Linked DNA regions of Saccharomyces cerevisiae S288C. The protein of the gene in region 2 binds, or shares a complex with, the protein of the main gene of each other region. Each region holds a gene or a part of one and is shown on either strand. Other genes may lie near its edges. A codon is read from its position in the direction of its gene.

The links.
Region 1: the proteins of DPB3 (region 2) and DPB4 are in contact, whole or in part, in a cryo-EM structure (PDB 6WJV), measured with the Saccharomyces cerevisiae proteins. Residues at the interface, in NP_009837.1 of Saccharomyces cerevisiae: Ala9 (codon at 8,032), Pro10 (codon at 8,035), Phe12 (codon at 8,041), Lys16 (codon at 8,053), Ile20 (codon at 8,065), Cys23 (codon at 8,074), Asp24 (codon at 8,077), Glu26 (codon at 8,083), Tyr27 (codon at 8,086), Val28 (codon at 8,089), Ile29 (codon at 8,092), Thr30 (codon at 8,095), Ser31 (codon at 8,098), Val33 (codon at 8,104), Ala34 (codon at 8,107), Ser36 (codon at 8,113), Ala37 (codon at 8,116), Thr38 (codon at 8,119), Phe40 (codon at 8,125), Ala41 (codon at 8,128), Ala42 (codon at 8,131), Glu43 (codon at 8,134), Leu44 (codon at 8,137), Phe45 (codon at 8,140), Val46 (codon at 8,143), Gln47 (codon at 8,146), Asn48 (codon at 8,149), Leu49 (codon at 8,152), Val50 (codon at 8,155), Glu51 (codon at 8,158); in NP_010406.3 of Saccharomyces cerevisiae: Asn25 (codon at 5,445), Thr37 (codon at 5,409), Ile38 (codon at 5,406), Leu41 (codon at 5,397), Ala42 (codon at 5,394), Arg43 (codon at 5,391), Glu44 (codon at 5,388), Ser49 (codon at 5,373), Gly50 (codon at 5,370), Lys51 (codon at 5,367), Leu54 (codon at 5,358), Ile55 (codon at 5,355), Asn56 (codon at 5,352), Asp58 (codon at 5,346), Ala59 (codon at 5,343), Ala62 (codon at 5,334), Leu63 (codon at 5,331), Arg65 (codon at 5,325), Gly66 (codon at 5,322), Ala67 (codon at 5,319), Val69 (codon at 5,313), Phe70 (codon at 5,310), Val71 (codon at 5,307), Asn72 (codon at 5,304), His73 (codon at 5,301), Leu74 (codon at 5,298), Leu75 (codon at 5,295), Arg79 (codon at 5,283), Lys88 (codon at 5,256), Ser89 (codon at 5,253).
Region 3: the proteins of DPB3 (region 2) and POL2 are in contact, whole or in part, in a cryo-EM structure (PDB 6WJV), measured with the Saccharomyces cerevisiae proteins. Residues at the interface, in NP_009837.1 of Saccharomyces cerevisiae: Cys23 (codon at 8,074), Pro25 (codon at 8,080), Glu26 (codon at 8,083), Val33 (codon at 8,104), Leu44 (codon at 8,137), Gln47 (codon at 8,146), Asn48 (codon at 8,149), Glu51 (codon at 8,158), Val55 (codon at 8,170), Leu56 (codon at 8,173), Gln58 (codon at 8,179), Leu59 (codon at 8,182), Glu79 (codon at 8,242), Lys80 (codon at 8,245), Arg81 (codon at 8,248), Asp82 (codon at 8,251), Asn83 (codon at 8,254), Arg85 (codon at 8,260), Phe86 (codon at 8,263), Glu88 (codon at 8,269), Asp89 (codon at 8,272), Ala90 (codon at 8,275); in NP_014137.1 of Saccharomyces cerevisiae: Asp302 (codon at 6,869), Ala304 (codon at 6,863), Val305 (codon at 6,860), Asn389 (codon at 6,608), Lys392 (codon at 6,599), Ile393 (codon at 6,596), Asp1080 (codon at 4,535), Lys1083 (codon at 4,526), Asp1084 (codon at 4,523), Val1270 (codon at 3,965), Trp1272 (codon at 3,959), Leu1273 (codon at 3,956), Gln1276 (codon at 3,947), Lys1277 (codon at 3,944), Lys1279 (codon at 3,938), Trp1280 (codon at 3,935), Gln1283 (codon at 3,926), Arg1287 (codon at 3,914), Arg1290 (codon at 3,905), Arg1301 (codon at 3,872), Glu1302 (codon at 3,869), Ser1304 (codon at 3,863), Ala1305 (codon at 3,860), Gly1307 (codon at 3,854), Ser1308 (codon at 3,851), Met1309 (codon at 3,848), Glu1582 (codon at 3,029).

The regions. Positions count from the first base shown.
Region 1 is NC_001136.10:690,065-699,101, reverse strand, and holds DPB4 (DNA polymerase epsilon noncatalytic subunit), read right to left. Parts: upstream 5,518-9,037; coding exon 4,927-5,517; downstream 1-4,926. Other genes in the region: INO2 (Ino2p), read left to right, coding at 1-548; serine/threonine protein kinase KIN1, read right to left, coding at 1,208-4,402; TRM1 (tRNA (guanine26-N2)-dimethyltransferase), read left to right, coding at 5,841-7,553; COX26 (Cox26p), read right to left, coding at 7,888-8,088; VBA4 (Vba4p), read right to left, coding at 8,569-9,037. UniProt on the Saccharomyces cerevisiae protein: As accessory component of the DNA polymerase epsilon (DNA polymerase II) participates in chromosomal DNA replication.
Region 2 is NC_001134.8:752,287-761,399, forward strand, and holds DPB3 (DNA polymerase epsilon noncatalytic subunit), read left to right. Parts: upstream 1-8,007; coding exon 8,008-8,613; downstream 8,614-9,113. Other genes in the region: DNA-binding protein RIF1, read right to left, coding at 1-4,820; tyrosine/serine/threonine protein phosphatase PPS1, read right to left, coding at 5,334-7,757; PAF1 (Paf1p), read left to right, coding at 8,971-9,113. UniProt on the Saccharomyces cerevisiae protein: As accessory component of the DNA polymerase epsilon (DNA polymerase II) participates in chromosomal DNA replication.
Region 3 is NC_001146.8:142,437-155,983, reverse strand, and holds POL2 (DNA polymerase epsilon catalytic subunit), read right to left. Parts: upstream 7,773-13,547; coding exon 1,104-7,772; downstream 1-1,103. Other genes in the region: ORC5 (origin recognition complex subunit 5), read right to left, coding at 1-884; protein transporter YIF1, read left to right, coding at 8,144-9,088; PDR17 (phosphatidylinositol transporter), read left to right, coding at 9,369-10,421; IST1 (Ist1p), read left to right, coding at 10,703-10,729, 10,835-11,704; PIK1 (1-phosphatidylinositol 4-kinase), read right to left, coding at 11,906-13,547. UniProt on the Saccharomyces cerevisiae protein: Catalytic component of the DNA polymerase epsilon complex which participates in chromosomal DNA replication.

The DNA.
Region 1 (9,037 bases), on a different chromosome or scaffold from region 2:
AATCGAATGCCATTGAACAGTTTTTAGACAATCTAATATCACAGGATATGATGTCTTCCAACGCTTCCATGAACTCCGAATCACATCTACATATAAGATCACCAAAAAAGCAGCATAGGTATACCGAATTAAATCAAAGATATCCTGAAACACATCCACACAGTAACACAGGGGAGTTACCCACAAACACAGCAGATGTGCCAACTGAGTTCACCACGAGGGAAGGACCTCATCAGCCTATCGGCAATGACCACTACAACCCGCCACCGTTTTCAGTACCTGAGATACGAATCCCAGACTCTGATATTCCAGCCAATATCGAGGACGACCCTGTGAAGGTACGGAAATGGAAACACGTTCAAATGGAGAAGATACGAAGAATAAACACCAAAGAAGCCTTTGAAAGGCTCATTAAATCAGTAAGGACCCCACCGAAGGAAAACGGGAAAAGAATTCCCAAGCATATTCTTTTAACTTGTGTAATGAACGATATCAAGTCCATTAGAAGCGCAAATGAAGCACTACAGCACATACTGGATGATTCCTGAGCTCATACAAGCTATTAGTGATGAAAATGGCCTCCCGTTGGATGTATTTTTAGTTAATTTCGTATACATGGGCGAAAATATCATATGATTGCAAAGCTGGTCATGTAAATATATTCATTATAAACCAGACGGTAGAAAATCTCGTTTCTTTCCAGAGTGTAGCGTAGATTTTTGCGGACAAGAATTACCAGTATCTTCATTTTATTTAGAAGTTAAGAGAATCCGGAGGCAATGATGGTGAAGTAAAGAAATCTTTCAACGGCGAAGTATAATCTGTCTTCACAAACAGAATAACTGCGTACAAACTCGCAGTTATATGACCGTTACGAGTTGTATTGATTCAGTGAAGTAATAGTCCTATTACATCCATATGAATCCTGTCCTGGTAAACGGTGCAATGATCGCTCTACGTATACAAATTCTCTCCATCAATCGATGATGAACTGCTTTACACATAAAGTACGTGCCATTTATTTATAAATAATACCAATTAAGGGACGAAAATATTAACTGCTGAGTGTCTGCTTAGGTCCATTCTATTTCTTCTTTCCAAAAGAGAATAAAAAGAATCTATATATATATATAAATTTCTATCGAACGGATATTCTTGTTTTCGAATATCAAAAATGTAAGCTGTGGTTTCTCAGGGAACGTGTTACTTACAACTTTAGTTCTTTTAATATACTAGAAGCCAGCTCTTTATACAACCAAGTGTTCCCAGAAATTTTCTTAAAATGCACACCGGCTAAACCAACAATACGAACCTTGACGATATGAATTTCGAATTTGATGGGCTCTTTTTCTGTTGTAGTCATGCCTTCGCTACCGTCACCTTGTTGGTGGATGTTCTCCAAAGATGTTCCCGAATGCTTATCATCTCCATAGGTTTCGGTAATAGATGTTTTTCTCTGGTGAATGGAATTAGTTGTCAAAGGAGAAGAAGGTGAGTATTTATTAGAGCCTTGACGTCTAATGGATTCGTGGTGCGAAAGTGGCATGATCGATCTTGGAGTCCCTTCTCTCTTCGCTGCCACATTATTGGAAGAGAACCTTTGCATACAAACAAAACCACCCTTAACCTCCTTGAACTCTATATTCATTTTCCTCAGAACAAACATAATCTTGTATCTAACAATTGGCAAAGGCTTCGATGAAGTTGTCTGAACAGAAAAGAAACCCTTCAAAAATAAAGAACGGGGGAAATCGATGGATGGCATAGAACCGGCTGGAGCTCTAGAAGCTTCCTGCAATATCTCTTCATCTGTTAATTCCTTCTCCACAGATGGCGAGTTTATGTGTGCGTTCACAGAATGCACGCTGACGCTATCATTCGTCTGTGAAGTAACATTTCCCAAACTATCGGATTTGTTATCGTCACTTGATTCTAAGAACCCAGTATCTATAAGCTCTTGCTGAGGATAGGCAGATGAAGGCATTGGGGGTCTCATATATTTGAGTGATTCACGACGAGCATGACCAACTGATTTAGCTCTTGCGCTTGGATGTAGTTTTCGACCTTTTGCAACATTGAGAGGTGGTAAGGGATGATTCTCGTCGTCGTCGCTTCCTTCAAACTTCTGTGCAGCGTAAGCTTCCCGCCCGCTTCCTTTTGCAACTTCATTATTCTGTTTATTAATATCATGCAATTTCATTATATCTTCTTCAATTTGCTTCTCCCTTTGCTTCTCTACCATATTTTCTGCATCCGCAGGCAATGCTGGAAAGTCACCTTTATTGCCACCTCTGCTATCGTTTGTCTTGACAGGCTCATTCATGGTATAATTTGAATCATAACTCGGTTTAGCAAAACCAGGGACAAAGTCTGAAACAGCGCGAGAATGCGTCTTTTGCACAGGTTTATTGATACTATTATTACTATTAACAGATGTCTGTTCAATGGTCTTTTTACGGCGCTGTGATAATTTTCTAAATATATTCCCAAACTTCGCCTTTTCTGAGGGATCGCCAGTAGTTGAAGGTACCCTAAATTGTTGATAGTCATTTCCCTGAGGAGTTGGAGAGAGAGCATATTCCATTTCACGGCGTTGATTATCAGAACTTTTTCTACTCGTTGGTGACGTATGCGCTTGTTCTGGCATTGCTAACCTCGGTGGAATTAAGACATGTAAGGGGGGCTCTGTGCCATCGCTATTCTTTGGAGTGAATGGCACAGAGGTATCTTTTGTCGCCAACGTGGCTTCTGGCTCTGATTTCATAGCGGTTGTATTGACCTCTACGTCCCTTTGCTTCACACTTTCCGGTATTTCAGAAAGCTTTTCTATATTTTCGTGGCTCTGTCGCTGTTGTTGATTCCGAATTTTCGCATGTTTCCTATCAAGCATCTCAGAAGTCAAGTAATATATGGAAATCATTGGATGATATGCCCGAGTTGGGTCTTCAAAACTCTCTGTTATGTTTGGCGCGTTTCCGTTATCACTGGATTCTGCGTTCATTTTGGCCGCTAAAGTCCAGTATTGTCTAGAGAGAAGAACGTAAGTAGGATCTGTGATTATACTGACCAAAACACTTCTTGTTTCCTCTACATCGTCAATAAATTCTAAACGGTACATTTCTTTTAAGACATTTATATCAAGCATTTCGATAGTTAGGGGAACTCTTTTCGGTAAGTAAGAAGGAGGGGGACCATTGAACCCTCTTACCATCCAGTGGTGCTCCACAACCTGTTTAAGTGTGGCTCTTCTTTTCGGATCTACTACCAACATTTTGGATAACAGTGATATTACTTCGATAGATAAATGTTGGGGATATTCAACCTTACCTTGCTTGATCTTTTCATGTAAAACGCTCGAATTTTCGTCGTCAAATGGCACTTTACCGCATACCAAAACAAATAAAACTACACCAAATGACCAGACATCTACTTCAGGTCCTGTATAAGGATTCGCTTTTAACAGCTCGGGAGCGGCAAAATACAGAGAGCCACAGAATGTATGAAGCTGCTTCCTAGAATCATAAATATTTGAAAGTCCAAAATCAATTATCTTGATTTCACTGGAATCTGAAATCATTATATTTTCTATCTTCAAATCTCTATGGACGATGTTGTTAGCATGCAAATATATTAAGGCGCTCGCGATACCCCTAGCAAACTTTCTCGCTTGGTGTTCTCGTATTGACCCATGTTGGATGATATAGTCTAACAGCTGACCACCTGAAACATATTCAAACAACATATAGAAATGATTTGACAACGTGCACATCTCAAAAAGTCTACATATGTGTGGATGATATAAGATTTGTCCCAAGGACGCTTCTCGAATAGTTCTTTTGTCCCTAGATATTTCCTTCTCTAATTTCTTCTGTCTCTCCAAAACATCTTGTTCATTTTTGGGTGGTGGCAGCATTTGTTCTTTATGTAGGAAAGCCTTTGTAGCACGGTTTACAATTTTTACTGCACAAACCTCATTAGTGTAACGATGTTTTGCCAGCTTCACTTTACCCATAGAACCTGCACCAACTGTTTCAACAAACTCCCAATCTCCTAACGATTTTCGATGAAACTGCTTAGGCATGCCCTGAGAAGACGAAACTCGACTCTGGCTGGTAGTATTTGGCTTTGGTGCATTCTCTCTCGATTTACCTTCAAGTTCTACTTGTCTCTCCTTTTGCTCTGCTTGATGTGAGTTACCATTATTGGCGTATTTGATATCCGCCGGGGGCATTAGCGGTGTGTTCTGCTGCTGCTGCTGCTGTGGACTTTTTCCCATCATTCTCAGCGTAGCGGGCGCCATAGTGCTTGGTTGTGTATGCATGCTGTTGCTTTCACTATTGCCATCATCCTGCTGGTTACCTCTGCCCATTGAGAAGGCAGTATTTACGTGATAATCATCCATATTCTACGTGAGCAAAAAGTAATCGTAATAAACTGTACCTGTTTAAAAGAAGTTGAAAAAAAAAATGCGTAATAGCCCAAAATCCCTAGTATATTCAGTTGCTCTAATCGGAGCAAAGATGTTTGAATTTTACTAATCAATAGTTGGAAAATGAAAGACCGATAGGGTAGGGGGGCGAAGGGTGACAACTAATTATGTTAACTAGCCTAGGTTACCGTATGTCCTTATAATAACGAAGTAAATCTCAAAAAATTTCAAATCACAAAGTGGCTCTAACTAAACCTGCTTGATATCGTATCTCGCTAATACACTTCCTCAACGCCATAATTTCTTGTTAACGTTCCACCAATATCAACTTCTTGTCCCCTTTCTTTCCTTCCGCATTGGCGCCGCGTTGGGTTCCCCGGCTTGCAAATAACGACGATGAGTATAGCTTATTATGTATGTAGGTAATAAAGGCAAGTTACATACTACGATCCTGTGGGAGTGGTGGCAAGCACTACTAGACAGTTTCCATAGCGGGGTTACGTTTGCTCAAGGTTTTGAACTCTAGTTTCTACATCTTGGCTCTCCGTTTTCTGTTTCTTTTCGGAGGACTCTTCTACGTCCTGTAATGCATCGCCTTGTTCTTCTATTTCGTCATGCTCTTTAACCTTTTCCACGGGCACATTCTCCTTATCTTCACCCATATCTATATCGCCATCAGCATCTACTTCACCACTATCTAGTTTTTCCTTCTTCCTCTGTTCAACAGCAGCTTGGTATTCATCTAGTTTATCTCTAACCGGACCCTTCAATGCCGAGTGTCCTATATGGTCCAAAGCACTCAGAACATCATCTACACTGCAGCTTTTTTTATCTTGACTCTTTGCAATTTCCCTTGCAAACAGGAGCAAGTGGTTAACAAATACTGTAGCACCACGCTGTAACGCTAGTGATGCGTCTTTATTTATCAGCAGCTTTTTGCCGCTTTGCTGTGGCACTTCGCGTGCCAAATTCACAATAGTGCTTTTAGGAAATAACAGGTCCTGAATCGTAATGTTCTCTTGTTCTTTAATATACGAAGTAGTGGGGTAATTCCCTTGGGCGTCTTTTCTCCAACCTTTTGGTGGCATCGTGTGTAAAAATATATGGTCTGATATAAATAAGCAATGAAAGGCTTGACTTCTATTTCAAAGTATTAAATAATTAAAAAAATCCTTCCTTTCACCTAAAACCTCTAGGTAATATTCTGTGGCTTCTGCTATTGTGCCGCTATGAATAACAATTTTAAGCTCTGATGATCGAATCTGGTTTTTAACGTTATTCCAATTTGAGCCTTTCTTTATTCGTCCAAAGGGATAAAGCATTATTTTTTTTTCATCGCATTCAATGCTCATCGCAAAGTTACAGATCCTGAGCAGTCATAAGTTGATACCTTTCCTCTTACAATGTAGATATGGAAGGTTTCTTCAGGATACCCCTCAAGCGGGCAAATTTACACGGAATGTTGAAGGCTGCTATATCCAAAATTAAAGCGAATTTTACCGCGTATGGTGCACCAAGAATCAATATTGAGGATTTCAATATAGTCAAGGAAGGAAAAGCAGAAATTCTTTTCCCTAAAAAGGAAACTGTTTTCTATAATCCCATCCAACAATTTAATAGAGATCTAAGTGTTACATGCATCAAGGCGTGGGACAACCTATATGGTGAGGAATGTGGCCAAAAGAGAAATAATAAAAAAAGTAAGAAGAAAAGGTGCGCGGAAACTAACGATGATTCTTCCAAGCGTCAAAAAATGGGAAACGGGTCACCAAAAGAAGCCGTTGGTAATTCTAATCGAAACGAACCTTATATAAATATTTTGGAAGCATTGTCAGCCACTGGGTTAAGAGCCATTAGGTATGCTCATGAAATTCCCCATGTGAGGGAAGTTATTGCTAACGATTTACTTCCAGAGGCTGTCGAATCTATAAAACGAAACGTTGAATATAATAGTGTCGAAAACATTGTCAAGCCAAACCTTGATGATGCTAATGTCTTAATGTACCGTAACAAAGCGACGAATAATAAGTTTCACGTCATCGACTTGGATCCTTACGGTACCGTTACACCTTTTGTAGATGCGGCTATTCAGAGTATTGAGGAGGGTGGTCTAATGCTGGTAACTTGCACTGATTTATCCGTTTTGGCCGGTAACGGATACCCAGAAAAGTGTTTTGCCTTATATGGTGGTGCAAATATGGTTTCTCATGAATCAACTCACGAAAGTGCGCTGAGACTAGTATTGAACTTACTAAAGCAAACTGCCGCGAAATACAAGAAAACTGTGGAACCGCTTTTGTCGTTGAGCATTGACTTTTACGTCAGAGTTTTTGTCAAAGTCAAAACAAGCCCGATTGAAGTCAAAAACGTTATGTCAAGTACTATGACTACTTACCATTGTTCCCGTTGCGGCTCTTACCACAATCAACCTCTGGGCAGAATTTCTCAACGCGAAGGTAGGAACAACAAAACATTCACCAAATACTCGGTTGCGCAAGGGCCTCCGGTTGATACTAAATGTAAGTTCTGCGAGGGGACATACCATTTAGCTGGTCCAATGTATGCAGGACCTCTACACAACAAGGAGTTCATCGAGGAGGTGTTGAGAATTAATAAAGAAGAGCATCGTGACCAGGATGATACATATGGAACACGTAAAAGAATTGAAGGTATGCTATCTCTAGCTAAGAATGAATTATCCGATTCGCCATTCTATTTCAGTCCTAACCATATTGCATCGGTAATAAAATTACAAGTACCTCCCTTGAAAAAAGTAGTCGCAGGCCTAGGTTCCCTAGGCTTTGAATGTTCATTGACACATGCCCAACCATCGTCCCTAAAGACTAACGCTCCATGGGATGCAATCTGGTATGTGATGCAGAAATGTGATGATGAGAAGAAAGACTTAAGCAAAATGAATCCAAATACTACGGGCTATAAGATTTTATCGGCAATGCCAGGATGGTTGAGTGGCACTGTCAAATCAGAGTATGACTCAAAGCTGTCGTTCGCACCAAATGAACAAAGCGGTAATATTGAAAAACTAAGGAAGCTAAAAATTGTGAGATATCAGGAAAATCCAACAAAGAATTGGGGCCCAAAAGCCCGTCCCAACACTTCATAAGAATTTTGATTAGTGTTAGAGCTAAAACGTAAGAAACTAAGGATCCGCCCGAGAACGGTATAATGGACGGAAAAGAATGCTTCTCTTTTGTAATATAGATGTTTAAAGTAATCAGGAGGGCAGTATGTATGTGTAAAAAATAAATAAATATATATATATATTTGAGGAACCAGATCTCAAATGAAAAATATAAGCCAGTATATTTTTTGCATTGTAGCCACTGTTGTAACCTCTGGGCATATAAATAATAATGTATAGCGCCTAGTATCAAACTAAACTCGCCATGTTGGTAGTGTTACACTCATTTTTAGCAAATTTTTTTTTCTTATCAAACTCATGCTTTTCTTGCCTTACTAAAGAAGTATACAGCACCAGGCCAACCTAAACAAACGCTCAATACTGCACTCCATTGAAAGATTTCTGGAATGAGCCTTCTACCTTCCGTAATTACCCACGATTCACCTATTCTACCGCCTGTATACCTCTTGATTGGGGCAGCACGAGCGGAAGATCTCAAAACTTGGCTGAAGAACATTTTACCTATTTAGAATTAAAAGAGTCTGTAAATATCTGTGATATGGTCAAGTGTCTAAAAAGTACAGACAAGGAAACGAAATAAAAAAAGAATTGTTTCGTCATGCAAGAGGAAAGTATGAAAGAAAAATGACTGGCTTATATATTAAGTGTCATTTAGTCGGAGAAAACACTATCATAAACAAAACCATGTTTTCTTTGGTTGCCTACTGATAGAGGGGTTTCCGCTTGCTGCATTTTCAGCAAGTAAAAATCAAGCTATTCTGGCCATTCATTTCTTGCACGGATACCATATCCCCTTGTTCACTCTTCTATTCTTCCCCCGCCCCATACGATCATTTTTCAGATCCCGCCTTTGTGCGGTCACCACAATGATTGAAGTTCCCTGCATCTTTATCTAAGCGACAAAAGTATTATCGGGTTTAAGAAAAAAGAAAAAAAGTATTTGTATTATTTAAAGTATACATTTTCATCTACCGGTTCAAGATAGTGACAAACAATTTTGACTACGACAATGGATTCTGTTGAAAATGAATATTGCTACGACAGTAATCGTAAAAAAAAGGGTAGAGAGTTTGAATACGTTTCGACATGCTTGTAAATAACACTCAATCAAAGTTTGAAAAACAAACTTTGGGGCTGATTCGTGTACCCAATCTGAAGATTCCGTAGCGTGCTTGATAATTTTCAAAAGGTCCTTTTTAAGATAACCTTGCTTGCTAAATGGCATCACCTTCTCATGCATAAGTTTTATTAATGTTTTGTGGAAGACATAACCACCCAAGGAAATACCAACCGTCCCCCCCACGGCACCGAAACAATATACGATAGAACCACTGATAGGTGACTTTCTTTGTTCATGGTACTCATGATAAAGATTTGACAGCAAGGTCAATATCATAGAGGAGCCCAAAAATGGCAGAGACAAACATATATATTGCTTCCATACT
Region 2 (9,113 bases):
ACCTCATTCCTTACTGGAGAGGCTTGTTCAACATTACAAGCATAATCGTTGTTTTCACCCTCATTATTAGGACGGGCTTTCTTCACGCTCTTGTACTGTGCAATATTGTCTTGCGTAAAACTTTTACTGTTGATTTTATTCATACTTTCCTGGTTCTCCTGTCTTTGAACATGTTCAACTTGCCCTTTTCCATCTTCCTTTGTTATGGTTTGCTGGTCAAGATCTAAAGTGACATTCAAGGAATTTTCATTACAGTTTGTTTCCACTTTTATGCTATTCCTTAAAGCTAACGAAGATTCTTCGTTGGCTATACTCTTGATGTTAGTACATATAACGTCACTGCTAGGCGACACCGCTTGTTCCTCAGAAACTAAAACGTCCACCATCGTTTCATGACCTTTCGATCTTTTATTTTCAGAGGTAGGCGTCTCTTTGGAAGGTCGTTTTAGAGGATTATCACTGTTAACAACGTTATGATCAGGATTCGTTTTGATAGATCTATTTGTTACCGCCTTCAGTTCGCTAGTGAGAACTTCTATCGGTTGGTATGCGTTCACTTCCGAGGATTGTGTATCAATACTTTCATGCAGCTCAGTAACATCCACCTCATCGCTTTTAGTAGAACAAATGTTGCTATGATTGGCCACGTTTTTATCTAACTGCGTACTCTTCATCTGCTGATCTATTTCTCTAATGCTTTCATTATCCACTTCCTCTAGTGTTTCATCATCAATTGATCTGCTTCGGTTAGCATGTGATTCTTGCTGTGAAGAATTCATTATTGCAGTATTTTTAAGCGATATTGAATCTGAATCTTTCGCACTAATCTGGGAAGATATTTGAATTGAGGAGGGAGGCTCTTTCATTCCCTGCGTAGCCGGAACCTGGATATCTTGAGAATCCACTTTTCTCTGTAAGTTTGAAAGTTTATTTTCACTCCCTTCGCATGGAATATACATCGACTTAGTGTCAGGTATAGCTTCAATTTCCTTACTTGAGTCCCCTTGATGAACCACGCCCGATTCCTGTATCCACTTTCCTATTGTCTTTAATGTTGCATTATAGGTTCTCTTATCTTTAAACTTACGATTATGTGATTTGATGAGGTCAATCAACAGATTAACCATATCAATAGTTTGATAGTTAGGGTTTGGCGGTAATATACTAATTAACATGGAAAAAAATTTTTTGGCGGCACTTCTAGAAAGCGGTTTAGTGAGATATAATAAGACTAATTCACGGAGCATATTTGTACTCTTTTTGTGTTTTTGCATATTAGAGCTAACTGGATTTAAGAAGAAAACTAAAAGTGGCTCCTTTAATTTTTCCAAAATTTGGATCTCTTTTTGTATAATAATCTTTTCAAGCAACTCCAATATATAATCATCATCTCCATTTTCAATTTTTTCAATAACTGCTGCCAGTAACTTCCCATTAGGCTTCTCCTTATACGTCAGTAATTTTAACAGTAGCTCTGGACTTATTTTGAAAAGAACTTCGCTGGTCATATTTCCGCAAAATTCATCCAAATGATCCGCCATATTATTCTTTATGCAAAAATTCAATAGGCCACTGAATAATGGTTCAATGGGATTTGCCATCGCCAGATGAAGGAGTTCTCTGATTATTTCTGATTTTTCTAACTCGCTATCAGACGCATTTTGTAAAACGTTCTCGATTTCTGAAAAATTTTGATTTAGCTGTTCAAGTTGTTGACCCTTCAACAGCCAACGAACTAATGTAAGCTGTTCGGAGCACTTGAATAGTTTTATGTTTGCTGCAAAATATGAAGCTCTGCTACGTGGTAACAGCTTCAATAGGAGATCTGAATTTAGATCAGGGATGGAATTTAGTAAATTTGGATTGGAATGAATACAGTACTCCAAAATATCCATAAATTTGTTACGCCTTAAAAATGGGAGCAGACCGGAAAACAGTTCAGGATTCCCTGGTAAAGAAGTTTTTAACAGCGTGATCAGATCCACGTTTAATTTGTTTTCATTTTTTGAAACATAGCTTTGAATGAAATAAATAAAATTATTGTTCGACCACATAGACACATGAAGTAGTGTAAACAAATTAACTGGAAAGCTGAGCTTCAAACATAGGTCCAAGAAATTTTCAATGGAATTTTCATTCGGAACTTTGTTCACAATATTCGCCAAACTCTGAAATTCTCTGAAAGATATATTTGGTGGTAATAACGTTGATCCAACCCAATTTTGGGCATATACTTCTGTTTTCTTATCATCCAATTCTAGAAACTTTTCTATTATCAGAAATTCAGATGTTTCGTTTCGAGCTTTCCTGATAACATCTTTTAAAAGATCAAGGGTCATGTTTCCTTGCGAAATACCAACTTTGGAAATTTGGATATTGAAATTTACTAATGATGAATCATTCTTTCTTAAAAACAGGTCCAAAAATGTATAAACAAACGATGAAGTAACAGCACCAAAAAAGTCACGAAAAATGGGTGTATCTTTGTTGTTTTGCGTGACTTTTAATATAAGACTGCTAAAGGATTCTAAATGAGTTTGGTCCTTTCTATCCTCTGGAAGATGCTTCAAAGATGTAAGGATCAGATCATGAGCCAAATTAACGTTAGAAATGGCTACTTCAACAGCCTGGAACACAACTTTCATGATTTTATCGTATTCACGCTTGATGATCTGCGGGGGCAGGCTTGAAATGTCTTTTAACTTTACACCTTCTGAGGCTATAACACTCATTGGGTGAATATGCTTTTTATATTTTCTTTCCAATGCAACATCTGCATTCTTTCCCCCAATTAACAAATGCAAAACTGTGAAGAGTACATTTTGCAAGTGAATCGAATCATATTTGAAAACATAATCTTCATAAATCGGGGTTATTAGGTGGTCCCAAAATAGTTCAAACATATCTGTTGACAAATTCTTATTACTTGTAAATGCAGTGTAAACAACACCTAAAAGGTGGTAGATGATCCCTTCTCTAGCGCTTGGATCATTCACATAAGGAAGCGTCATTTGAAAAGGGGTTCGTAAAAGTGACAGTAAACTTTTGTTTCCTTCCTGATTTTTCTGTGATATTTTCGTGCATATGCAGTAGGTAATAATTCTCCAAACTTTGATGGACATTAAGCGAGTCTTGGGGTGATTATTGATAAAGCACAGGTTATTTAAATCAAACCAAACTTTGTTAGATTCTGATGTCAAATCATAAACTCTCTTTCCGCTATCGTATAGTAATCCGGTCATTGAAAGCCACAAATCCATTGCTATTTTATTGTCATTTTTGACCACAATATAGTTTTTTATCTGCTGTGTAAGAAGATGACCAATTGTCACTTTATCTAAATTAGCGCTGTCATATGAATTTAACGGTAGTTTAGATAAAAATTTTTCCGGGATTGTTTCGCATACTGGAGATAGCATGATACACTGGTAAATCCTTTCATGTTCATCAACAAAATCTAAGCATTTTTTTAGTAGTTCCAGTAAAACAACTATTGAAGTTATGAGAATTTTCATGGAGTAAATTTCATCTCCGATAATAATCCTAGGTAGTACCTCACCTGGTAACCAAGAAGTTACCGTCTCAATCATTAATTTTGGATACTTGCTCAAAAATCCCCTTATAAGTAGCAATTTTTCATATATTAGGTTGTGACTATTGATTTCCATTATTTCAGTGAAAGTGCTAATGATAGGTTTAATTTCTTCGTTGCTCAAGAAAAAAGTACCAAATTTTTCGTCTCTCAAGAAAGAGACTTGTGCTGTTATGATTATCTTGTTTGAATTTTCATTTCTTAGCGCACCGGTGGTCCACCTGTAAATAACTTTTAACTTATTAACCAAATCTGGCCTTTTCGTTAGCCACTTAACGATTTTGAAATTAGACATAATAGCACTGAAGAATCGAACTATTTGAACATATAGTCTGATTACAAATGGATTTTTTTTTTCACTACTACTTAATAATGTGTCCTGTGCTATTTGTAGATGCGGTATGCATATTTCAATGATACTTTCTATATTCACAATTAGAATATTGAATTTCTGATCAACCTCGTTAACATTTTTAGTGGTTAGAATGGGTATAATATTATTAAAGGTTGCGTATACCTCAAACCTCCTCGCGACGTAATCTTCAGATTCTTGTCGCAAGATGCCCAATCCGCCCTCAATAATTTCTTTAAACTCCGAAACACTTTCATTATCAACTAAACCATGGATCTCACCACTCACCCAATACTCTAAGGCGCGAGGATTTACCCTTGTTTCCTTATAAGGTGATGTGAAAATATTACCGTTGTGTAATTTGTGTTGGGTATATTGGAGTTTATTGTAACTCAAGTCGCTTACAGTCCTCACTGAAGGCAACCTATTCCTCAAAATTGATTTTCCTGGTTTGCTTGATGGAGAGGGTTTAGGTGAGGAACCTGGTATGCGGTAAATCGGTGATGATTCTATCCTATCAGAAAAAGCTACACTTTTTGTAACCGGTGATACATTATCACTATTAGAGGCAGACAACTCTGGAAGACTTTGCATTAGCCTGCTTCCTGTATCTTCTGGATATAAATTCTTGTTAATAGCTGATAAATCAAATTGTTTATTCTCGCAATCACTTGAAGACGCTAGCTTTCGCCTCTTTGGCGTTGGCGATAGATCGCTTTGTATATGCATATGAGCTTGTGGAGATGGAGGTGGCAAGTTAGTTTTCATCCACGGAGAGCTTCCATTGGAATAATTATCGTGTTGAGACCTACGGAGGATATGCTGATCAATTCGATCTATCGTATGTTTCTTTTTATCTGAAAAATCTTTCGACATTGCAAATTGACCACAAAAACGATTTTGCAATGGCAATCCTGTAATAACGTTGACGAATATATATATATATATTCACTTTTATCTCCTTAGGTACTGATGCCGACGAATTGCCTCAAATCGCTCTAAGACTGCGTTATTACTTTCGATCTTCTTGCTAACGATGAGTCGCCAATAAATAAAAAATCGACGCGTCGGTCAATTATAGTAACTTCTATTATTGTAGTAAATATGACATAAGAGGAAAAACACAAAGAACTGAAAATCAAAATGGCACTAATCACCTGCCTTCTGTTGACTTCTTGTTTCTTATCAAAAGTAGAGTATATTCACGATGTAAATCTAAGATAGCTGTCCTTACTATATAAATATTTGCTGCGGCCCTTTTTTAACGATTTGTAAAGGATTACAGCAGTTCGTTATACTTGGCTGATAGCGTTAATTTTGCATACTTTTCTTATAATTGGTAATTTTCCTACGTATTATACAGTTGTACGTATACTTATATAACAAAGTTCATGTGTACTTCATATTAACCTCAGCGATACCCCTACAGATGATGTGCCAATCCATAGTTTTGTCTTTTTCGCGATTATAATGCTTTTTCCACCATTTGAAGAGCTCATATACGAAGAACAAGTTTGGTTGAATGATAACATTAAGCCTCCGTACCCTCACAAACAAATACGCACTTGCCAGGTCACACTGGAGATATCTCATACATTCAGCTATACAAACTGTTGCAGATCTGGAGACTCCGACCATACAATGCACCAGAACTTTCCCTCCTGTTGCTTCGGAATTGCTAATAAAATCCAAAACTTTGTCTATTTGGTGGAAAAGCGGATCTTTGCCGTTGTCATCTAGATTTTCGATCTGGCAAATTTGAAATCCAGAATTTTCACTTATTACTACGTTGCTGCCATTTTCTTGCTTATCGCTGACCACAGTATCAGCTCTATTTCTGCTTTTATTACATGTAGTATTACCTGCAACTTCATTGGTATTCGTCATAGTTATTGCACGATGTGGCCTTACAGGATGAGCAATTTTATCCTTATTCAATGTCCATGAAACAACTTCACCGACAGAAACTATATGCGTAATTCCTAGAGACTTAAGTAAGGCAGGATTTTGTGCATGATCCAGGGATCCCAAATACAAGTGACGTAGAATCCGGGATGGCAGTGGGCCCTTCAAATTAACGAAATTAGACTCAAGAGGAATCTTCATAAAAAATATGCTACTAAAAAGCTCTGAAGAAATGTGTAATTGAAAGCTTTTATCCCTAAATTTCAATGCATTGGCATATAATTTTAGATTACTTCCATTCTGCGGACTAAACTCCCGCAGGACAGGTTGTAAATGGCCTAAAATTTGCAAGTCTGATGGAAAAAGGAAAAATGGTCTTGGATGGATCCTCAAAAGAGCGTCTTGTAACGGAATATTAAAGTGGAATATAATATAAGCTGTTAATAATAATGACGTTTCTGTATATCCGTCTTCGCAATACATGAACGTCAATAATTCTTGAACTTGGGATACTTGAAATATTAAATAACAAACATTCAAAAGAATTTCCACAGACTGAATGTTTAAGTTCCCCAAACCTATACTACCTGAGGCAGGGAAAGTCAAATGCAAATGCTCTTGTGATTTTGACGCATCATCGTCTAATAAAAGATCTAGATATGTTCGGATTTTCGTTAACGACGGCATTTGCGAGTTTGACGTACATTTTATGATCAATTTCCACACCTCTTTTGTATTCGGTATGTTATACAGTTGAGAAATGGAGGTTGTCGGATTGTCCGTATCATAATTTAGAGACTTTAAATTTACTATGCTTGTATTCTCTTCGAAACGGTGGGTCAGAGATATATTGTTTTTTTTAATTATTTGATAATTATGCCAATCAGTGGTGTTACCGCAAATCAACCCTGTTTCCTCCAATCGTGTAGCTGAAGTCAGCTTATTCAACTCTAACTTCTCGCACAAAACCATATTCTTATCAACGTTATTGAAACACACTATTTCACTAGGTGACGAACATAAATTCAAGGGAGTATTATTCTTGAAAAATTCGTTGTCTAATAAAGGTGTACCAATCAAAGTTTGAGGTATATCTGTATTGAAATTCTGATAAGTGCAAATAAAAAGATTCGTCTTGTAAAGCGATCCTCCACTCCCTACATAACCCTTTTGAACAAACATTAAACAGATCTGTAAAAGTAGTGCAAGGGTTGTACAATTGGGGCAATTTCCCTCGTGTGAGCACGCTGGCGCTGATTCTGTTTGCATATCAGTGCTGCCACCAGTCCGCGAACAATAAATTACTATATTATCAACCATTTCTATCATCTTGGCACATTGCAGGTCGAACCTTCGGAATAGACCTCTCCTTCCCCAGACGTCCTGCCCACTCCGTTTTAGCGTGGTATTAGACCCAACCTTGTTTCTAGAATACCTTTTAAGTTCTAATGATAGTCCACGAGGATCTACTTTCAGAAATGGTAAAATGCTATGATTGTGACAATAAGTAGCAGCGTTTTCCAAAGCAACATCATCCACTTGCAATTCCAATTGTCGTATCTGAAACTTTAGCAAGTTCAAAAGTTCCTTTGTGTTATTGGGATATTGAAAACCATTAGAATCATTTCCAGTTTCACAGGTATCGCCCTCTCTATGAAAGGAAGTGCGAACTTTCCAGGACTGGAAGATATCATTCACTTCGAGAGAATTACGCAAAAGCGCAGAATTGTTAGCATCTGATTGCGATTTGACTATTGCAAGAGAATGAGGAAAATCGGGTGGTTGACCAAAGGAAATATCATGAGCCCAGGGGAACATTTTTTTACATTCAGGCCATTCTGCATCCTGATGTAGTCGCATAAGATCATGCAGTTCACCAGGTGTGATTGAGGGCACTTCCAAAACCATGGTTGTTGCTCTAGTTTTCTATACCCGCCCCTTCTACCTCAATGACAATCTCTCTTTTATGGTTGGTGTTTCTTTTCACTTTTTTACTTCTTCTTGTACTTTTCTTTTTGAACCTTAAAAACTCTTGCAATTATGTTTCCATGATGCTTTTGAAGTAATAATTTATTTTTATTACGCGAAATTAATGGCCTTAACAACTGCCTGCCCCAACAGATAAAAACAAGCAAGGGTCAACCGTGTTGCAAAAAAAATGTCCAACTTAGTTAAAGAAAAAGCACCTGTCTTTCCTATATCTAAAGTAAAGAAGATTGCCAAATGCGACCCCGAATACGTAATTACATCTAATGTAGCTATATCAGCGACCGCATTCGCTGCTGAGTTATTTGTACAGAATCTCGTCGAAGAATCGCTGGTCTTAGCACAACTGAATTCGAAAGGAAAGACAAGCCTACGATTAAGCCTAAATTCTATAGAAGAATGTGTCGAAAAAAGAGATAATTTCAGGTTTCTAGAGGATGCCATTAAACAACTGAAGAAGAATAGCGCACTCGACAAGAAGAGAGAACTAAACATGCAACCGGGTCGGAGCGATCAAGAGGTTGTTATAGAAGAGCCTGAATTGCATGAGGATGATGGTGTAGAGGAAGAAGAAGAAGAAGACGAGGTATCCGAAGAAGAAGAGCCCGTACACAATGAAGAACTTCTTGATGATAGTAAAGATCAACAAAATGATAAATCCACGCGCAGTGTGGCAAGCTTGCTGTCGAGATTCCAGTATAAATCCGCACTAGACGTAGGAGAACACTCCGACTCTTCTGATATCGAAGTTGACCATACGAAAAGCACCGATCCTTAGTGTTGTTGCTATTATTGCTATGTAATTACTATTCGATGCAATATGTTATACATATACATACACGCAATGAGAACCCTAACCTTGAACTTACTATTTTAAAAGGACATCTCGAAAAAGCTTAGGGATAATTAATATTTTGTAGGTTAGAGCTGTTATGTAGGGAAGAAAAACAAGGGCTTTAAAATAATAATCACATTACACGAATAACTTAATTTGTCTTTCTGAAATGGAAAAAGAAAAAAATGACGACTGTAACATTGGATGAATTAATACTGTCATTATTGATACGTTGTTAATTATAGACAGAAATGTATTCAGTACAATAGAACAGTGCTCATAATAGTATAAAGGGTCACAATGTCCAAAAAACAGGAATATATTGCACCAATAAAATACCAAAACAGCTTGCCTGTGCCACAATTACCTCCTAAACTTCTGGTTTACCCCGAGTCTCCGGAGACGAATGCAGACTCCTCCCAACTAATCAATTCACTATACAT
Region 3 (13,547 bases), on a different chromosome or scaffold from region 2:
GTGCTTAAAAATAGTTTGATGGCACTTTTGTAAAGAGCCAGTGGTTCAAATATGTTTTCCTTAGTAATGCGAGATACATACTTGGGCCATTTGAAGTCTATCAAGTCATTCAATGCGAATATGTCGTTTCCAGTATAAGAATGAAAAGCCTGCACAATTAAGTGAATGAAGTTCGCAGCTACATTTTGAAATTGATCGTCTGTACAGTCCGTTATCTGCTCTTCAATGATACGCTTACGTAGACAAGAATCTTCCATGAGTTCGCCACATCTAGACATCACTAATATAGTAGAAACTTCGTCCACATTATACCTCGGAAACATAACAGTTGGAATGCAATGTGTAGAATATCTTTGCAAAAATGATGTCTCTAACATCGTGTAAATGAATTTTATATTAATTTTAGAATCTTTTGGAAGTAATTCATTTAGTTTGATATATTTGTTAAACAGTGCGGCGTCTAAATCTTGTAAACTATCGAAACCATCCAATATCAAGAACAAGCAAGTCTTTTCTTGCAAAGATTCATATTGGACAAAAATATTGTGCAACGTCTTTACCAAAAGAAATGGCTCTTCAACCTGTAAAGGATCGTAATCTGTGGTGGGAATGTTTGGATATAGGGTTTTCAATTTATATTGTACAGTACGTGCTATCGCCTGCAGTAAGGGCTTCCAAGAAACCAACTCAACAGGTTCCAGCCATACTGCATGCAAATTTGGATTCGCATTAAAATACTTCTTCAAAGTGTAGGTTTTTCCTGTTCCACTATAACCTTGCAAGATTAAATTTGAAGGAGTTATGTCTGGATCAGCAGAAATATACGATGCGAGACAGTTGGTTTGATATTCCCTAAAAGCAACTTCCGGAGTGGTCACATTCATTTTATTTCCAAAAGTATTAAGAAGAAAATAAAAGAAAAGTACTTGTGATTTAAATATCAAAGAAGAGTGTTAATTATGTTCAAGGGCTAATTTTTCGGTTATTTATATTTATATGTTCAGAAACGAATTGAAAATACTCTTTTTCCTTACCTTTTTTTTTTTTTTTTTTTTTTTTTCATGGTAAAGAGGCCATTGAACCTCGCGTTATATACTGCTTACTCATATGGTCAAATCAGCAATACAACTCAATAATATATCAAAACCGTAATACTTGGCTACTTGCTTAAACACATTTAACTTTTGAACAATGCTTTCTCTGGGGAGAGTTCCTTCCCACGCGCCGGCACATGGACAGTGGGCACTCATATAGTCACGTTTCACTTTATGACATCTGGAGCATCTCAAATCTTGAATTAAATAGGATTCGATATCAGAACGTAGTTTTTGAATCAGGTGTTCTTGCAACAATACTTGATTAAAGGCTTTGTGACATCTGACGCATGAAAAAATAGATTCAGGAGCTGCCTTACAAAAGTCAATATCAGAAATGAAAAAACAGTATTCACATAAAAAATCCGGCACCACGAGACTCAAACTTGGATCTTTGAATTCCGCTACTTTAGCAAACTCACGCAATTCAAATATCTTCAGCAGTTCTTTTCTCAGGGTCCTGATTTCTAAAATTGTACTCTTTGAAAGTAACATGACATGGCAGAGTGATTTGACAAGTTCTAGAAGGGGATTTTTCACATTCAGATGGGAACCAGGAAGAACAGGAATAACATAGTCTGCCTCATACTGAGGATCTAAAATGAACTCTTGCTGGTTTTTAAAAAGCTTTTTGACTCTTTTCATTAGTGGTTTGGAAAAAAGGTGAGAAAATCCGTTCAACGAGTTTTCAACACTATCTTCCTTATCTTGTTTTTTTACATTAACTATTTGGGTAGGTCTTTGCGTCCCTGAATTCAATTTTAGATAGCTCTGCTTTGTCTTTAGCATACTATCCAATATGATCATCATCCAATCCTCAAATTCGGGCTGATATATTGGTGACAGAAACTTCTTTAGTTGCCATTGCGAAACAGCGGTATAATCCTGATTTTCCTTTTCCTCTATTTCAATACATGCTAATCCACTAAAATTAAACTTATCCATCCATATTAGCAGATCCCAATAACGTTTGATATTTAAGTCCAGATAACTAAACATTGGATTTGTTCTAACTGCCTTCATCATATATTGGCTGTAGGCGTAACAGTTTTCAGGTGAGTACTTGTTTGTCTTTATTAGAATTTGATTCCTGTCTGCATATACAATAGTTGAGCCAAGTGCACTAAATTCATTTACTAATTGAAGTAAGGCTTTTTTTGTTAAGTTATGAACGTGATATCTTAGTAATCCGTCGAATAGTTTCGCATTCGGGTTTTGAACCCAACTTGCCAGGGAATTTACCAACAAATCTGCGGTTGAATTTTCTTTTAGGGCCTCATCCCACCACTCCTTTAACATACCTCTTAAAACATTCAAAGCGTCATTAGAAAAGGCGTCGTGCACGAATTCAGATGGCGAGTTAATAACGGCATCTTTGTCATCTATACCCATATTATTGTTAACTAGATCACTGCCTTCAGCATCATTGATTAATGCTGATGTCAAAATTGTGTTCACTGTTAAATTATCAACACCAACATCGAGAACTACATTGTCATACACACCTGAGTTATTAATTTTGGGAAATTCTGAATCATTCATTATCCATGATGTATTTAAATCAAAATCATTTTGAATGCCTCCATGATCTGGAAGTGGAGCTTTCTCATTCCACCAAAGCACGATGTTCTCTTTTTTTAGTTTTCTTGCATAAAGAACATCAATAATATAATCCATACTATCCAGCCTCAAATTACAGATTGGAATGTTACTATACTGGGATAACTTGATCAAGTGAGAAATCCACGAACCACTGGATAAAACGTGGTTAACAAGTTTCTTCAATAATGTCGGTTGCCAGTTCAATTGGGGTAGAAGAACTTCATTCAAGGAAAGCTTAACAATGGGCATCTGGTTTAGAAGCCGGATTGTGCCTAAGAGCTTAGTGATAAACGGAGATTGTAACAAGAGTAAAAACTGCAGACCTCTTTCTTCTTTTAATTTAGTAGTTTCCTGTGATAGTCTTCTGTACAATTTTGAGATATCTGTAAAATATACAAACTCAAAATTGATATCTTCTTTAATATCAACCAAGTAAGAATATGTTTCTATTTTACCTTTCTTTTTTTCAAACATTTGTTTGTATATTTGTCCTAATGATGAGGCATTTATTTCCTGAGCCTGGTTGGATGGTTTCAAAACTAATATAGTAATAGTATCTCCCCATGACTTGAATAATGAAAAAAATTCATACCCAATTGATGTTGGGAAATGTAGTAAATAGCCAATGTCCATTGAAAATCCACTCAGATACCTTTCATTTTCCGCCATTGAAAGATCCTTCATTTCAAAACCCTGCTGTATTCCCTTGCCTAACGCACCCATTGCTTTTGAGCGGAACGTTACCGAAGCTCCCAAATCCATGATCGCTCTTTGATGAGGAGTGATAGTGCCCTCAAATACACCAAGTACATTTTCATCGTTGAAGATACTAGTGCAGTTTTCCTTTTCTTCCAGAAAGACAGATTCCGGTAGAGTAATTTTGAATAGCTGACCGCCTGCTGGATTAGACGTTTTGGGATTATTTGGTAACGATGCAGAAGATTTTTCAATAAGGCAATTCTTAATCTTTTGTAGCGGCATTGTTTGAGATTTGAATTTCATATAAATAGTTTTTGGTATATGGAAGGTGATGTTCTGGACTTTGCCATTAATTGTTACAAATACTTCCAAAACCCCTGGCTCACCGGAATCCTTGTATTGTAAGACCTCCCAAGTGGAGTTCGCATATGATTCAGCTTGCTTCCTAATCATACTTCCTAGTGCACTTCTTTCACGGGAGCTGTTTGTATTACCAAATAATTGGTCTCGACGCTTTCTATCTCTTGCTTGGATTTTCCATTTAATTTTTTGATAATTTAGCCACCCAACATAGTCCTCGTCCATGGAAGGAATCTCCGAGGGCAATACTAGTGGATCTTCTTCATTTGTAAGCTGATTTCTTTTCCTCTTGGATACGGCTTTCTTTTTAGTAGTTCTTGCAATTTTAATTTTGGCGTTATCTTCTTCTACAGTTGGTTCAAACAAATCCTCGATATCTTTTATCTTGCCCATTGTTGGTACATTCTTTGTCTTCGAAAAAAATTTGGTTAGTGAAGTCTGCTTAAACTTATCCTCCTTTGTAGCGATTTTTCTTTTTAGCCAATCTGGATGTTCAACCCTTGGAACAGGATTGGAAACCCCTTGTAATGCTGCTGGAATAGTAATTATCTTTTGTATAGCAGATCCAAGTCTTTCTCTATAATAACCCCAATCGATTATGGTTCTGATATCCAGATCTTCCAAAGATGGATCTAATGTCCATCGCCTCAGAAAAGACCTTTTGATGGGAATGTCCGCTGAAAATATTGCGACTGGAATGGCTCGTTCAGTAACAGGTGCATTGAAAGGTTTTGAACTAATAATATATTTACATTGTAGACCTTTATCTTTTACCATATCTTCACCCAAAAAATCCCCCAATCTCCTTGCCGTCGTAATAGAAGTAGATTTTTGCCCTTCATATTCCTTTAAAGTTTTTGACATACTTCTATTTTCACAAATCAAACTGACCAAGTCTTCATCTTCTAACATAAGACCATGTGAATCAAGAACATCTAACCAACGGTTACATACGCTTGCTACAGCACTGTAACATCCTTCTAATGTATCACCTTCCAAAAAGACCTTGAAAATATCACTTTGAAAATTTTTTATTAGTTGTAATTCACCACGCCTCTTCAATTCAAAACCTTTCAGTTCAGCAAGTGAGCCGTCTTCATTGAAGACAGCATATCTTTTCTTTATACCTTTTCCTTCTTCCTTGGAACTAGGCAAAATCATGGCCTTATATGGTCCGTCAACTTCGAAAAAAATCGTGTTTTCACTGTGCGTCTCATATATATAGTTCAATGGGTCTTTTAATTCTTGGTATTGGTGATTCGTAAACTTTTGGTGAACTCTGTAATTCAGCATGGAACATGGGTAGGAGAGATAAAGCTTTTTACCATTTTCTAATGTAAAAAAGTAAGTTTCAGGGAAAGATTTTGGTAAGATACACCAAATACCATCAGTATCTAATTCTAATGGTCTTCCTACCCTTTCTACTAAAGCTCTCGCCATTTGAATGATCGTGGCACCTGTTAAACACGTAATCCCCGCCATTTCCATGGAATACCAACGAGAGCCTTTCCTCATAACATACCCATAAAACGAATTCAAAATAACTTTGTGAGCTAATTGTAATGAGTCATAAAGCACAATCATCTTTTTGGCCTCGTCTCTCGCATGCTTATCAGATGGGTCAATTTTGGACAGATTTCCCTTCCAAGTCTTGGCTAAACCTTTGAATTCGTAACGCCTATCACGAAAGGATTTCACGGTATCGACGTAGAATGGATTTTCTCTTTGGCAGACAATGGCTTCTCGTTCGACAATTTCTGATACTTTAACCCTATGATAAACTTTCCTTGAATATTCAGTTAAACGTTTTTTTATGTGGATAACTTGGTCTGCGTAACTTAGTTCATCAAATGTCAAAACTTTCTTTTTAGAAAACTTGTTTTTGTTGGGAAAAGTCTCATTTTGTAATGCACGCTTGATCATGTTATACTCATCCATCTTACTGGGAAAGAATTCTCCTCTCCAAGCCCATTTTAACTTTCTTGCACAGGTTTTTCCGGGTCTATTAAAATCGCAACTAGCACAATCGCGCTCTGCTTTGATACTATCTGGTTGTAGTCTATTTGTAGTCATGATGTTTGGGTACATAGAGGCGACATCTACATGATAGATCAAAGGTAGTTCGTTTCTTATATTGTTTTCCTTCAACTCTAATAATTTCTGCGTTATCTGGTTTTTTATTTCCTCAAAATTCGTTACTTTATCTACACTGGACTTATTTTCAACTTCCACACTAAATTTCAAAGCTTCTGGTAATTCTTGTAATAATTCATCAATGGCAGAAGGATCTATCTTGAATTCATTCTTCAAATCACTCCTAAAAACACCAGCTTCTAATGACTCCACATGTCCACCCACGTAAGTCTCGGATTCTAGAAGATGTCCATCATAGAACCTCTCAATGGGATCTGTATGCTTATTTGGTAGAAGAATATTATGTTGATAAGCTTGAACCATCAACAACATTTCACACAAAGTACCGGTACCCTTTCTCAATGTTTCATCCGGGTTCAAAGGAATAATAGTACAAAGGGAAAAGATAAAAGGATGAACATATTTCATGTAAAGGTAATACGTAGCGACTGCATCGGAAACAGAATATTCGGAAAGGTGCTGTGGCTTTTCAAATGCATACGGCGTCATTAATTCGGGATCCAGTTCAATTGGGTTATAACCTAGCTTAGATTGAGTAACAGCTTTTAAACCCTGGGAACCTTGTGGTAAATAAGAATCACGCTTCACCCAACGGAAACAATCCATGTGAGAGCAGTATGAGGACTTGTACTCACCTTCAGCATCTGGAGCGAAACCAATTTCATCGAACATGTCCAAGCCGTGAATCTTACTTCTGTTATGTATAAAAGGCCAATCGAAAAAGTCACCATTGAAGGTGGATATAACAGTGGGTCGTACATCTCTTATATGTTCAAAAAACCTTTGTAGAAGCGCCACTTCATCGTTTTCGTTAAATATGGTGAAAAAACCAGGATACTCCGGTTTCGGTGTATACTCAAAGTCTTCAATATCCTCAGAGATTATCTCCCTATTTGTTATCAAAAAACCTTCCCCATCGATCATATACGAAATCATCATTATTTGATCTACGGCGGAATCCGGGAATTTTAAAGGCGGCTTCGTGGTTTCTATATCAAATGCCATTACCACAGGGTCGGCAAATGCAATTTTCCTAGTATCTTCAATGAATCCCTGTTGAGTTACCTTATACCATTTACCGACTCTAATGTCCTTGTCTATAGATACTCGGACATGATACGGCACATCATATTCCCTGATATCTTCGATCAGATGTTTGGCGTCAACTTTTTCCGAGCCATTTGCAGCAACGTTATATATATTTCTTTGCACATTATTATTGGCATTATCCTGCAAGATTGGCCTCAGGAGTTTCCTGGCCTCGAATAACTGATTGGAATTTACAAATGATAACTTAATAAGTGTCTTCTGCAGCCCTAAAAGGTGATTGTCCATGGTAAGATCTTCCTTTCTAATGATTTGTAAGCTTTTGAGACAAGATTCCAGATATTTTTTCACTAGTTCCTCCACATCATTTACTCTTGATTCATCGTTACACGCAATAAAGAAGTATGGGTCATAGACAACTGTCGACTTGAAGCTCCCACCCTCTTCATCTAAAAAGTAGAAGTCAACTCCGGAAATACCTTGGTTGGTCGTTACACGTTCTCCGTCATTCGAATTGCCGCCGCCATTACTACCACTGGATAAGGTTTCCTGAGAGACCAGCGTTGCGTGCATGTTCGTCAGCCACCCTACGCGGCCTGGAATCTGATCTATATCCTTCGCATCAAACCTGCCATTGTATTGCGGCGGTACGTATCTTTCAAATCCCATCATCGAATCGATGTCATCGATCTTACTAGCATTTAAGAGCTGTTGCGCGCTAAGCGCATAATTATTTGAGAGTGTGTTGTACTTGTTGCCAGCTGAATATCTTGCAGTGGAAGATCCTCCGTTGTTTTTTTTCTTGCCAAACATCATATACTTGTCCCCTGAGAGTGTTATCTTGATAGAATGTGCTCTTTCATCATCATATGCTCTTTTTGATAGGTCCTCTTCCAGTTAAAATGGTAAAAGATGCAAGAAACTTACGCGTTCTGGTTACCCTACCTGAAAATAAACCATTCTGACAATTCAAATGACAATAAACTTGGGCCTTTGACGAACACTGACAGTGTTACTATTACTTTTTCTCAGTGCTAAAACAGCATATCCGAGACTCTGTATCAAGATCCATATTGCACACCAGAGCTGTTGTTTTATACTACAACTCATCTTTTTGACTTTTCGATTGTAAGACCTCGCTACTGAGTATCAATAGCAGAAAACGAAAACCAAAGGCCCATACCAAGATGTCTTATAATCCGTACGCATATGCAACAAGTGAGCAGAATGGCGTTAACGATCGCTTTTCCCACACTCCACAACAGCAACGACCAATGCAAATTCCGAGGAACACGCCCGTGAATGGCCAAGGTAATGCGAATATGAATGCAAACGTAAATGGCAGTGGCGGTGGTTTTCCATTCCAAGATCCTCGTGGTTCGATGGCATTCCAACTAGGGCAGAGCGCATTTTCTAATTTTATTGGTCAGGATAACTTTAACCAGTTTCAAGAAACGGTCAATAAAGCCACTGCAAACGCTGCCGGCTCTCAACAAATTTCAACGTATTTTCAAGTCAGCACCCGTTATGTCATCAATAAATTGAAACTCATCCTAGTTCCTTTTCTTAACGGAACCAAGAACTGGCAACGAATTATGGACTCTGGCAACTTTTTGCCACCAAGGGATGACGTGAACTCCCCAGACATGTACATGCCTATTATGGGACTAGTTACCTATATTCTCATCTGGAATACGCAGCAAGGTCTGAAGGGTTCATTCAACCCCGAAGACTTGTACTACAAACTGTCTTCTACTCTGGCGTTTGTGTGTTTAGATTTGTTGATTTTGAAGCTTGGCTTGTATCTTTTGATCGATTCTAAGATTCCAAGCTTCAGTTTGGTCGAACTGTTGTGCTATGTCGGCTACAAATTTGTTCCATTGATTCTCGCCCAGCTTTTGACCAACGTGACCATGCCATTTAACCTGAATATTTTGATAAAATTTTACTTATTTATTGCCTTTGGCGTATTCCTACTAAGATCCGTCAAGTTCAATTTACTAAGCCGCTCCGGTGCTGAAGACGATGATATACACGTTTCCATCAGCAAATCGACCGTCAAGAAGTGCAATTACTTCCTATTCGTCTATGGCTTCATTTGGCAAAATGTTCTAATGTGGTTAATGGGTTGATCTTGATTGAAGAGATCAAAGAGAGGATTTAATTTCATGCGCATTATTATTATCTACGGTCAATTTGTTAAATACTTATATACTTTTATTCCTACGTCATAAATTTTCTATTTACTTTTCTTATTTTTCCTTTCACTCAATATGGAGTGGAAAGAGAACAATAGAGGGATTAAAATTCGTGGGAAAAATCACGCTTTTTAGATAGATTTAATTTACATCATTGTTTAAAAAAAAAGACCCTGAAAAATCACACAAAGAAAGCACAAGAAGAAGAACAAAAATGGGTCTTTTTTCAAGAAAACGGGACCATACGCCTGCTGTGCCTAAAGAGAAACTTATTCCATGTGATAAGATATTCTTGGACCCTCCTGCCAAGTATGGTAACGCACCTCTACTGGAACCCATCTCCGAAGATCAAAACGAAAAATATAGAGCTGTCTTACGACATTTTCAAGATGATGATCTGAAATTACCAGAAAATCTCAATGACCTTGACAATGGGACACATGCCAATGACAGACCCTTGAGTGATTGGGAGAAGTTTTGGCTTTCTAGGGAGTGTTTTCTAAGATACCTAAGAGCCAATAAATGGAACACCGCGAACGCCATAAAAGGTCTCACCAAAACCTTGGTATGGAGGAGAGAAATTGGACTTACACATGGTAAGGAGGACAAAGACCCTTTAACAGCTGACAAAGTTGCCGTTGAGAACGAAACTGGTAAACAGGTTATTTTGGGCTTTGACAACGCTAAAAGACCTCTATACTACATGAAAAATGGTCGTCAAAACACAGAATCTTCCTTTAGACAAGTCCAAGAATTAGTCTACATGATGGAAACTGCGACAACTGTAGCTCCCCAAGGTGTAGAAAAGATCACAGTCTTGGTAGATTTCAAAAGTTATAAAGAACCTGGTATTATCACTGATAAAGCTCCACCCATCTCTATTGCTAGGATGTGTTTGAACGTCATGCAAGATCATTACCCTGAAAGGTTAGCTAAGTGTGTCCTGATCAATATCCCATGGTTTGCGTGGGCTTTTTTGAAGATGATGTATCCGTTCCTTGACCCTGCCACTAAGGCGAAGGCTATCTTTGACGAACCATTTGAAAACCACATAGAGCCATCTCAACTAGATGCTCTATACAATGGTCTGTTAGACTTCAAGTATAAACATGAAGTCTATTGGCCAGATATGGTTAAGAAAGTTGACGATTTACGATTGAAACGTTTTGATAGATTTTTAAAGTTTGGAGGCATTGTCGGATTAAGTGAATATGACACCAAGGGCCAACATGACGAATTAAAATATCCTGTTGATATGGTCATTTGATAAACTATAATTAAGATTTTTTTTTTTAACGTTTCCCGCTACACAAACGTATATATCTAGACTCAGATGTACGTTTATAATGGCTGCTTATGCGCTTATCGCATTTTATATACTTTTAGAATCAACTGAATCGGCTATCCGCACTCTATTGTTTTGTTTCATGAAAAAAAAAACGCCTTCTGAATTCCAAAGGGTGTGAAAATTATATATACTATTAGTTCCAGCTAATCAATCAGAACTAGTCAACATAGAAGATAGATAAGAGAATACGACAACTAAAAATGGCTCCGTCAATGATTCCGTTCACTGTATGTTTATATTTTATAGTAATTTTTAAAAAGCTTTAGTATGCAAAAGATCTAGGATGTACTAACTGAAGAAGGGTAAAACTATCATCCAAATTATTGTTATAGATCAAGCTTAAAACATGCCTGAAAATGTGTATTCAAAGGTTAAGATATGCTCAAGAAAAGCAACAGGCGATTGCAAAGCAGTCTCGAAGACAGGTTGCACAACTGTTACTGACAAATAAAGAACAGAAGGCGCATTATCGTGTGGAGACGCTAATTCATGACGATATTCATATTGAGCTACTAGAGATATTGGAACTATATTGTGAATTACTACTGGCTAGAGTGCAGGTAATAAACGATATCTCCACCGAGGAACAGCTTGTCAAAGAGCATATGGATGATGGTATTAACGAAGCTATCAGATCCCTAATCTATGCGATTCTTTTCGTTGATGAAGTCAAAGAACTTAGCCAATTGAAAGATTTGATGGCCTGGAAAATAAACGTTGAGTTTGTTAATGGAGTAATAGCAGATCATATCGATGTCCCTGAAAAGATTATAAAAAAATGCTCTCCCTCAGTTCCAAAAGAAGAACTAGTTGATCTTTATTTGAAGGAAATCGCGAAAACATACGATGTGCCATATAGTAAGCTGGAGAATTCCTTATCTTCGTCGTCTTCTAACATTTCTTCAGACTTTAGTGACCCCTCGGGAGATATCGAGGATAATGACGAAGAAAAGCCTATTTTAGCCTTAGATAATGACGATAATGACAATGCAGATGCTAAACACCCTATCACTGTTAAAAAGCCTAGGCAGAATAGTGAAAATATCAAGAACGAGCTCAAGATTCCGAAAGATATCAAAAAGGAAGTGATCGAAAAGAAACAATCAGAAAAGAAAACTACAAAAAGAAAGACTAAGAAGGAGCAAGAAAATGATGAACTAGATGAGTTGAAGAAACGGTTTGACGCTTTACGCAGAAAATAAGATAATAATTTATATGTATGGTTAATTAACCACATATTTATTTTACTCTCATTCTTTTACCTTGCTTTTTCTGAGTCAGCTGCTCTATTATTCTCGGCAATAAATAAATATATGTATATTCCTTTTACTAAAATTCCAATTTTTTTGTTCTCCGGACATTTGCAAATTGTTTTTCCAGTTCTGTCACAGCTATTTTCCTTCTCAGCTATATATACCCTGTGTAATAAGTTGAAATTGGTCGTATATTCTGGTGTAAATACTACCCAAAGATTTACCTATCAAGAAATTTTCTACGAAGTCATCAACTTCTTTTTCTGATAAGTCCAATTGGAACCTTTGTCGTAGTTGTACACTTGTTTGTTCGCCAGCATCGAAACAAGGCTGCATATTGTCCTTTTGCATAATCTCACACATTGATACGATTTGATCAGCATACTTTCTCAGAGCCTTGAACGAACTTTTAGTTAGTTCAACAAACTTTTTAAACGCTTCTCCCTCTACTCCGCCTAGCAGTTCAATATATTCGTAAGTTAATTTGAATGGTGCGGCCTCAAAGCCCACTGAGCCGGGTGAATTTGATAGCATAAATCCAAAATCGATGTGACTTACATGGCCTTCGTTATCGATCATAATGTTACCGTTGTGTCTATCTTTAACCTGCAAGAGATAGCAAATGACAGAATATGCGGCTAACGAAGAAGCAAAGTTGTCTTGTGCTCTTCTATACTTAAATCCATTAGGATTACCAAAAGCTCTAAGGAAGTGATCATTCAAAGAGGCAATACCACCCTTGTCATCTAGTTCTGCATCTTCAATCATTTTTTTGGTTAAAGCCTTTTTAATACTATGCACAGACATAGCATTTGTGATGGTCTCCACAAGTCCCGTATTCGCACTAGTAATTAAAATTTTCATTCTTTTAACCCAAACGTCAACTTTTTCTTTAACCCAAATATTGGCCATCGCTTGAATCATCTGGTATGCAAACGCCTCCTGTCTCAAATCATCACCCGTCTTGGCGATTACAGAACATAAATCCCAGTTTTCGAAATGGCCATATTCCGAAGTTTTACGTATCCTCTCTTTCTTGGTAGCCCAATCTTCACCTAGATATGAAGTGTCAATACCACCCGTCATTAAATCGTTTTCCAATTTTCTCTCACCTGCCATTCCATGAAGGGCTTCCAAATCATGGTAACCAAATTTATCCTGCACCTCCTTCATTGATGAAATAATTTGAGCGCGGATTTGTTTGGTACTTTCTGATAACTGTTGTGGCGACTTATCCAATTGTGCTAACATAACAGCTGAAACTCTCATCTGGTCTGCTAAAGCGTCAGTTTGGCTATGTATATTTTTGCTATTAATTCCATTCTCGATGAGTACTTCGTCCAAGTTTGAGCCAAAGTTCAACTCTGGGCTTCTGTCTTGACTATCATCAGGTAAAATTGGAACATTTGCGGCACTCTGTATTACTAAAGCATTTCTATACGCTTCGTCATCCGTTCTGTTCCTGACTTTTACCATTGACATATCACCTAAATCTTCCTCTTTATTGACTTCAGTCCTAACATGAGCTGTGGACGCTGAATCACTTCTTGAGGTACTGGATAGACCTTCATTGCGGGAGGCCCCGTTGTTGAACGAGTTACTATCATATACCGAAGATCGAGTGTTGTTGCTAGTAAGAGTACTTTCATTTCTATTTTCGTTGTTTTCTTTTCTATTCATGTAATTTAAATCAAATATCAAGCCTCCCTGATTACCACTGATCTTCTTTAATAATCTTTCATTGGTTTCACTTGTTGGGTCAAAATCAAATTCGTCTCTCAAGTATTCTATC